Linked DNA regions of Coturnix japonica. The protein of the gene in region 2 purifies or fractionates together with the protein of the main gene of each other region. This does not show direct contact. Links are inferred from orthologs where the notes say so. Each region holds a gene or a part of one and is shown on either strand. Other genes may lie near its edges.

Region 1 (3,743 bases), on a different chromosome or scaffold from region 2:
ATTGGCTCTTTGTAATTGGAATAAATAAGTAAACATGCAGTGAAAATCCATGTCAGCCACAAAACTAGGCACTATGGACACAGCACTTTGAATCACAGGATGACTCGGGTTGGAAAGGACCCCAAGGATCATCAGTTCCCAACCCCCTGCCATAGGCAGGCTGCCAGCTGCTAGATAAGCACAAGATCAGATTGTTCAGGGCCCCATCCAGCCTGGCCTTAATCACCTGCAGGGATGGGGCAGCCACAGCCTCTCTGGGCAGCCTGTGCCAGCACCTCATCGCTCTCAGTAAATAATTTTTCCCTGACATCTAATGTTAACCTCCCATCCTTTGGTTTAAAACCACTCCCCATTGTCCTGTCAGTATCTACCTGCATAAAAAGCTGATTTCCTTCATGTTTATAAACTCCCTTTAAATACTGGAAGGCTGCACCGAGGCCTCCCCACAGCCTTCCCTTTTGCAGACTGAATAAGCCCAGCTCCTTCAGCCTGTCTTCATAGGAGAGGTGCTTTGCAAATACTGCCCGAAGTCTTTCTGCTCCCCATGTATTTACCTCTCCAGGTTTCAGCAGCCCAGCAGATGCGTAGTAGTTGGCCACAATGCAGGCACGCAGCTTGTCCATCATCCGCCTTGCTTCGATCAGGCGCTGTGGAAAGAGAAGGGAACACACAATGTGGAGTGACCTCCAAAAGCCCAGCACATCACAGCCTAGTCTGTAAGACAAATCCCTCGTACCTGATCTATAACTTCAATTTCATGCTCTTTATTCTTCATTTCGACGGCAAACTGTTCTTTGATAATGGTCTCAATCTTCTGCACAGCAATATCTCGAGCTGCATGAGGCCACACATGGAAAAGAAAGGAGACTGCTGTTTCTGAGGTCTCCGTTGAAATAAAGAAAACAGATACATTGACACTGAGCAAATACAGCACCATGAACAACATTAAAGATCTTTCCTCTGCTAAAGAACGTAATTTGTCTTCACAAGAAGCACATACATCTCTCCTACTGGCCTATGCAGAAGGCAGGCTGTCCCTCTCCAGGTCTGAGGCAGGAGAACAGGGCTGGTTTGTTTACTTTTGCCTCACAAAAGCTCTGAGGCAGCAAAAGGGAAACCCCAGTGTTCTCACCACACCAGGTTCTGCTGTAGCCGTGTGCCTGCCAGTGCTGTGCACACTGTTTCCAGTTTGTACCCAGGAAGTTTACACCATGTTACACAGCAGCAATAACACAAACTTGCTGAGCTGAGCATCCGCATGAGGTGAGTGACCACATGTATCTTATGGGCCATGGAGGAGCAGCCTGCTGCTGGCAGCCTCATGCAGACCCCCCTGCTGGACTCAGGACACCCAAACCTGTTGGCCCAGGTAAGGCCTGAAAGAGCAATGATGCTGCCATAGGGACCGCTGGGGACAGCCCTCCAACCTGCAGGCAGCACAGCCACACACTGCAGGGCAGGAACAGCTGCATCCCTGTTGCATCCACTGCCTCTCAACAGGGCAGTGCTCAGGGCTTGTTCTGAACTTAGTCACAGAATTATTTGAGTTGGACAAGACCTACAGAGGTCCCCTGCAACGCACAGTGACACCCACAGTGCTCAGAGCCCCGTGCAGCCCCACACCGGGTGCCTGCAGGGATGGGGCATCCACCGCATCTCTGGGCAACCTGTGCCTCACCACCCACCTTGTAAAACACTTCTTCCTTATAACCAATCTAAACCTCTCCTCGTTTAGTTTGAAACCATTTCCCCGCTATAGAGTCCGTCCCCTCTCTTCTTACAGCCCCTCAGGCTCTGCCGGGCCGCCCTCAGCTCCTCCCGCAGGAAGCTCAGATGTCCGCGCTGATGCTGTACGCACACAGCCCCACACACACACGCGTGCAGACGGCAGACGCGCTGTGGGCCGCGGATGCAGCCCCGCACCCCCCGCACCCAGCAGGCCCCGCTCCCGTCCCGCACCTGACTGCTCGGCGGCGCGGTGCCGTTTGCTGGGCGGCGCCACCGCGATGTCCTCGTAGTCGGGGTCCTTCTCGGCCAGCGCTCTCCTGACGCCGGACATGGTGCTGAGGCAGCACCGCCCCGCAAGGGCCCGCGGAGGGGCGCGGCCTTTGTTCCGCCTCGCGCGGAGCTCGGTGCGGCGCCGCTCCCCTCAGGCCGCGGGCGGTGCGGGGCGGTGCGGGGCGGTGCGGGGCGGTGCGGGGCCGTTCGGTGCCCACGTGCACGCCGCGCCGCTCCCCTCCCCCCGCCGCACACAAAGCGGCCGCGCTCCCTCGCGCCTTCCCCCCCCTCCGCTCGGCCGCCCCGCCCCGCCTCAGCGCCGCCCCGCGGCCCGTCCCGCCGCGCCCCGCACCGCCGCCATCACCGCGCCGCGTCGCGGGGGAGGAGCCGGCGCAGGCGGACACGGAGCGGCGGGCGGAGCGCGGGCACCGGGCCCACAGCAACCCCCGCCTCCAGCACCGCCCTCCCCCCCCCGCAGCCCCAAGGCGGCACAGAGCGCTGCTCCAAAGGCGAATGTTTATTAGGTACATTGAACTTAAAAAAAAGGAAATCAAACGACTATGCAAGAAATAAATGCAATACGTCAATGCTACCGCGATGGTGCTACGCTACAGAACCGCTGTCAGCACGGCCGGCAGAGCCCCGCCCGCTGCGGGCTGACCCGGGCTGCCCTGCGAGCAGACGGCACAGGAACGAGCTCCGCTGTCACGGCTGCATCCGCCGCAGCGCTGCCGGATCGGAGCATCTTCTCGTGCTCCGAACACGCCGTGCTGCGCTTCTTGCCGCCCAGCGGCGGCGTTTCTCTGTCCCAGAAGAGCAGCAGCAGCAGCTGGCCGTGCCCAGGAGGGCGATCCGGACTCTTCACCACCACACACAGACATGAATTCAAGGCACGGAGATTTTGTCAGCATAACAAACCCTTTCTTTGGAACTCAGTACTTAGGAAGCCGTGATTACGGTATCAACACACTGTATTGCATCACTTATAACAGCGTCATGGTCAAACCAGCCACATTATCACACACAGGTGGGGACACACAGACACCTGAGCAGAAAAGCCCTGTTGCTGTTTGGGCAGCTGAGGGCCGGCAGCACACACAGGGCACGTCCTCACCGGCAGCTCCATTTGCTGTTCCTTGATGGTGGGCCCACCTTCAGATGAAAACATTCTGGTTGCCTCACTGTGATCGAGCCCTACATGCTCTCCTGGTCTCTGTGCGGCCAATTTCACAGCTCCACCTACCCACGAGGCAGAGCTCCAAGCAGTGCCGTGCCTGCACAGAGGGAAACTGAAGGCTGCAACTGCAGCTGCTACCATAGGGGAGCTCAACTACTGCAGAAGCTGAGCAGCCATCACCGTGCTGATGAAAGGCAGCAGCTGCACTCATGTTTTCCATGCAGAACCTGCCCAAAGCCAGGACGAAAACACATTAACTTTCTTCTCAGTTTAACGTCGCATTGCTAAGAATGGAAGGACGTTATCTGGTGAACTTTGGAACGGGATGGCGTGGATATTAAAATACAGAAGGAAAATATTTACTCTAATTTCTTTTTAAAGTGTGGAATACATCATGGAGAATTAATTGCTTAATGGAGGGAGATATCAGACGGCTCTTTATATCTGCACTTAGGTGTGACTTTGGGGAGACCTGACCCCTGTGCCTGCACAGAGTTAAGCTGACAGCACTGCTTTGCTTTGGAGTTGCTAAAGCTCTTACCATTTATGATGCAAATCTTTTGATTGT
Region 2 (3,743 bases):
GCGTTTCCCTTCGCCTCCGAGCGTAGCGGCTTCTCCACCTTAACAGACCGTCTTAAAGCAGCGGGGATGGCAGCAGCCATCTTACGGGTCGCTGTCACATCTGCCAGGCTCCGGGGCAGCTTTAACGCCGGGCAGGGAACGGAACGGGGCAGGTGCAGAAATCGGGAGCTGCTATTTCTTTTTTACAAGTGCACGTTTTACACGCACCGGGATCCCCCTCCCTCTCGGTATTGCAGCCCGAGGTTGACACATCAAAGAGCTGCGGATCGCACACCAGAGCCCAGCCTCAATCCCGACCTTTTAAGCCGTGGTGCCCCGCTGTGTTAGTGCCATTTGCGGTTTCTCACGGCTCGACCGCGATTTTACATACGTGCGACAGAGCGTAACTTCCTCGGGACTCCTGCGCGCTCAGCGCAGTTACTGCTGTGGGATCACTTGCTTAATTGTTGCTTTCAATTAAAAGGCAATAGACATAGGATGACCCGCTGTCAACACTCGGTCCGGGACCAAAACGAGACGTTCCTGGACCATGCAGGGAACGGAGCAGAGGATCTTTGAGTTTTACGCTTAAAATAAACTTACAGATATGTATAGACTGACTTGGAAATCACCTACAAACCCGTTGAAAAGCAGCCGCAAAGTGCAAAGCGTGGAAAAGCACCGCTGAAGTCAAACAAACCGTGGCCCTACGAGGGGCAAGGGAGGCGCGTGGGCTCCGCCGGTGAAGCGGCGCTGCCGCCCCTTTGCCGGGCTCCTCAGCCCCTGGGGTCGGGCCCACACTCGGCGCCTGTGGCCGCCGCCCGCCACCGCTCAACTCCGCGCTTCTCAGCAGCGGGAGGCGGGCACCGGCTCCCCCCGCCCGGCGGGACAGGAGCCGCCCGCGGAGCGCCGGGGCCCTCCTCCCGCCCCCCCGGGGAGCAGCCGGCGGCGGCGGCGCGGCGAAGGGGAGGGTCTAGGGCCGGGCGCACCGCGCCGGCCGGCCGGACGGGCGGGCGGCAGCCGCCGCGCCGCGGGCATGGCGGAGGCGGGCGGCGGGGCCGCGGCCGGTGCGGCGGGAGGCGGCGGGCCTCAGCAGGGCTCCCCGGCAGCCGGGGGGGTGGCCGCCGCCTCCGCCGCCGGGGGCCCGGCTCGTAGCGCCGCCGAAAGCCCCGGGGGGCCTGGCTCGGCGCGCACGGCCGGGAAGAAGGCTCAGCTGCGCGCAGCTCCGCGGGCCAAGAAGCTGGAGAAGCTGGGCGTCTACTCCGCCTGCAAGGTACCCGGCCGCGAGCGCCCACCCGCCCACGGAGGGTGGGGATTGACGGAGGGAGGGGAAGGCAGTGCCGGGCCGGGCGGGAGGCAGCGCGGCTGTTAGCCCGGCGCTCCCCGCGGAAACGGCGGGTCCGGCAGAGCCTCGGGTCCCGCTGCCCCCGGAGCCTCGGGAACGGCGGCGTGCAGCCTCCGCCCAAGGGAAAGTTGCGGCCCCGCCGTCACGTAGCGCCCGACGGGGCCCTGCCCTCCGCCGCGCCCTGCCCCGGCCTCCTACACCGCCCTGCGTTGGGCGCTGCCGCCCTGCGCTGTGCTCCGTAACACGCCCGTCCCTACACCTGCAGCCCGCTTATGGACGCGGGGGGGCCGCGACCTGCCTGTTCTGTGCGGGTGCGGAGAGCGGTTAGAGCTGTGCTGCCCCGGGGCTCTGTGACAGCGGGAGCGGTATCGGTGCGTGTGCGGTGCAGGGCTCAGCGCAGGCCGCGCCGGGGCTGTCAGGGCGATTCCTGGATGCGCAGCGAGCTGACACGCTCCGGTTGGCAGCGCTGATGCAAAACACTCCAGTAATGCTCTCGGTGCTGAAAATAATTGAGCAGTTTGCTGGAAAAGTGTGTTTCTGTTCTTTCTGTTCCCTTACTTTGGGATTTCCAAGAAGGCATGAAGTGAATATCCCAACTAAATGCCCACTGACGCGAGGGAGCATCCCTGTGCAGGTCCGCTGCCCTGCTTGGTGATGTGAAGAGCTTGCTGTCTGCTGGAGCCATGTCGCAATACTGTCATTTGAGGGCAAGCTCAGAAAGCCACGTGCCTCAATGTCTCTGCAGTTCACCAATGTGTAAGCGTCTTTGCTTTGGCCTGGTTGAGTCCACGGCATGATGTGAGGTTACACTGTGTCAGTCAGTTAAAACCAGCCAGTCTGGAAACCTGCTCCTCTCTTGGAAGGTGGGGGAACGTGGTTTGAAGCTTTCCTAGTGCGATGAAACAGTGTCTCTGCACTCTGTGCCTCAGCAGCCCCTGTGCGCTGGAGGAGAGGTGGGTGTTTCAGGGAGGGCAGGGCCTGATGCCAGCCCTGCCAAACCTCTCCCAGGCTGCTGGTGGCACAGTGATCACTCACCTACTCGTGCCCTGCAGGGGTGTCTGTATTATCCCAAGGGTCCTGCAGGGAGGCCCACTTGGTGCTGTCTGGTGGACCTGGGTGTGGGGCTGGAGTACCCTGGGCTTCATCCTCATCCCTTGTCAGTAAGCAGGCACAGCACAGTACTCAGTGTGACTCCCTATGCGCATTCCAGTGCAAACCTGGCCTCTGCTACCTAACTTTCCTTCGGGAATGTACTGGCAGACAACATTCCTTCGGGTCTCAGAACATCAACAATGAGACACCCTTGTAAACTCATCAAGTGCTTTCTCCTGTGGGACAGGGAGAGGATGAAGCTGGGTGGAAGGATGTGTTGTTTTTCTTCCTGAACACCTGGCTCCAAACTGCTTGGGCATACAAGAGTCTGTAGCAGCACAGAGTGGAACATTGAGCTTTTTCTTACTCTGGGTTGCAACTCCTGTTCCACTTGTTCTGTGTGCGTGTGAAAGCTCAAACAGCCTATCTCTGAATGAGGTTTCTGTGGTAGCAGCCATGTTGATCTGCAGGTCTATGTAGAGCTGTATAAGTTGGAGGGCAGAAAATGTGTGACAGTTTCCTTAGTGTTAACAACCTTTGCCTAAGTAAAATTCACCCCACATTGCTGCTACTTCAGCACACAAAGTGTATTACAAGCTTAACCCCCAGAGATGCAGGGAATGGCAAAGACCGTGGGTTTGCTGGGGTGAGCAGCAGCGTGAGAAGATGGAGAGATGTCAGTGGCTGGGAGAATGCCTGGGGTGGGGGAGGAAAGGTGCCATGCTGGAGAGAAGGCTGCAAGTACTGCTGAGCTGAGTGAGAACTGAGGTTAGGGATCTGCTGCCCTGTCCTGGGACTGCAAATACATGTTTGCTTGTTTTTGTTTGAGTGGTTTGTTTTTGTTTTCCTGCTAAGGAATTGAGGCAGGAGAGTGGTCACCATGGAGCTTCACTGCTTGACTTTTCTCCTGTGAAATAAAAAGCTCGGGGTAGAAGGGCAAGAACAGACTCTTCTGTGTAAAACAGCCTTTTAAATGCCCGAGTCTGTGTGGGAAGAATGTGCATTCTGAACAATAAGAGATATGTAAGGAGTTGGCAGAGTATCCGTGACTTTTAGAAGTACACAGTAGAGCTGTATTTGCGCAGCATTTTGCATTTGGCAGTCACTATATCTGCACACATATGAATGACCGCATACATCGTTTTGGTTTTGCCCGGTGTGAAATTCAGCATTGGATACATGAGTTTGCAGCACTTTCCATAAAAGCGGCACTGTGTCGCTTACACACATCAATATGTTTAATGAAGATGAAGGAGGAAGTCTTTTTATTTTTTTTCACACTATTGGTTTGTGAAAACATAACTTTCTTTCCAGTCCCACTGGGAGT

Evidence for each region. Proteins that work in one complex are often made in the same cells at the same time.
Region 1: the proteins of KAT2B (region 2) and YEATS2 purify together in Homo sapiens (affinity purification with mass spectrometry; 3 studies listed by BioGRID, with this or other methods). This does not show direct contact. The link is inferred for Coturnix japonica from reciprocal best matches to the Homo sapiens genes KAT2B and YEATS2.

What each region holds. Positions count from the first base shown.
Region 1 is NC_029524.1:705,264-709,006, forward strand, and holds the start of YEATS2 (YEATS domain-containing protein 2), read right to left. Parts: upstream 2,198-3,743; 5' UTR 2,060-2,197; coding exon 1,960-2,059; intron 835-1,959; coding exon 737-834; intron 648-736; coding exon 555-647; intron 1-554. UniProt on the Homo sapiens protein: Chromatin reader component of the ATAC complex, a complex with histone acetyltransferase activity on histones H3 and H4. YEATS2 specifically recognizes and binds histone H3 crotonylated at 'Lys-27' (H3K27cr).
Region 2 is NC_029517.1:32,849,516-32,853,258, forward strand, and holds the start of KAT2B (histone acetyltransferase KAT2B), read left to right. Parts: upstream 1-1,015; coding exon 1,016-1,252; intron 1,253-3,743. UniProt on the Homo sapiens protein: Functions as a histone acetyltransferase (HAT) to promote transcriptional activation. Has significant histone acetyltransferase activity with core histones (H3 and H4), and also with nucleosome core particles.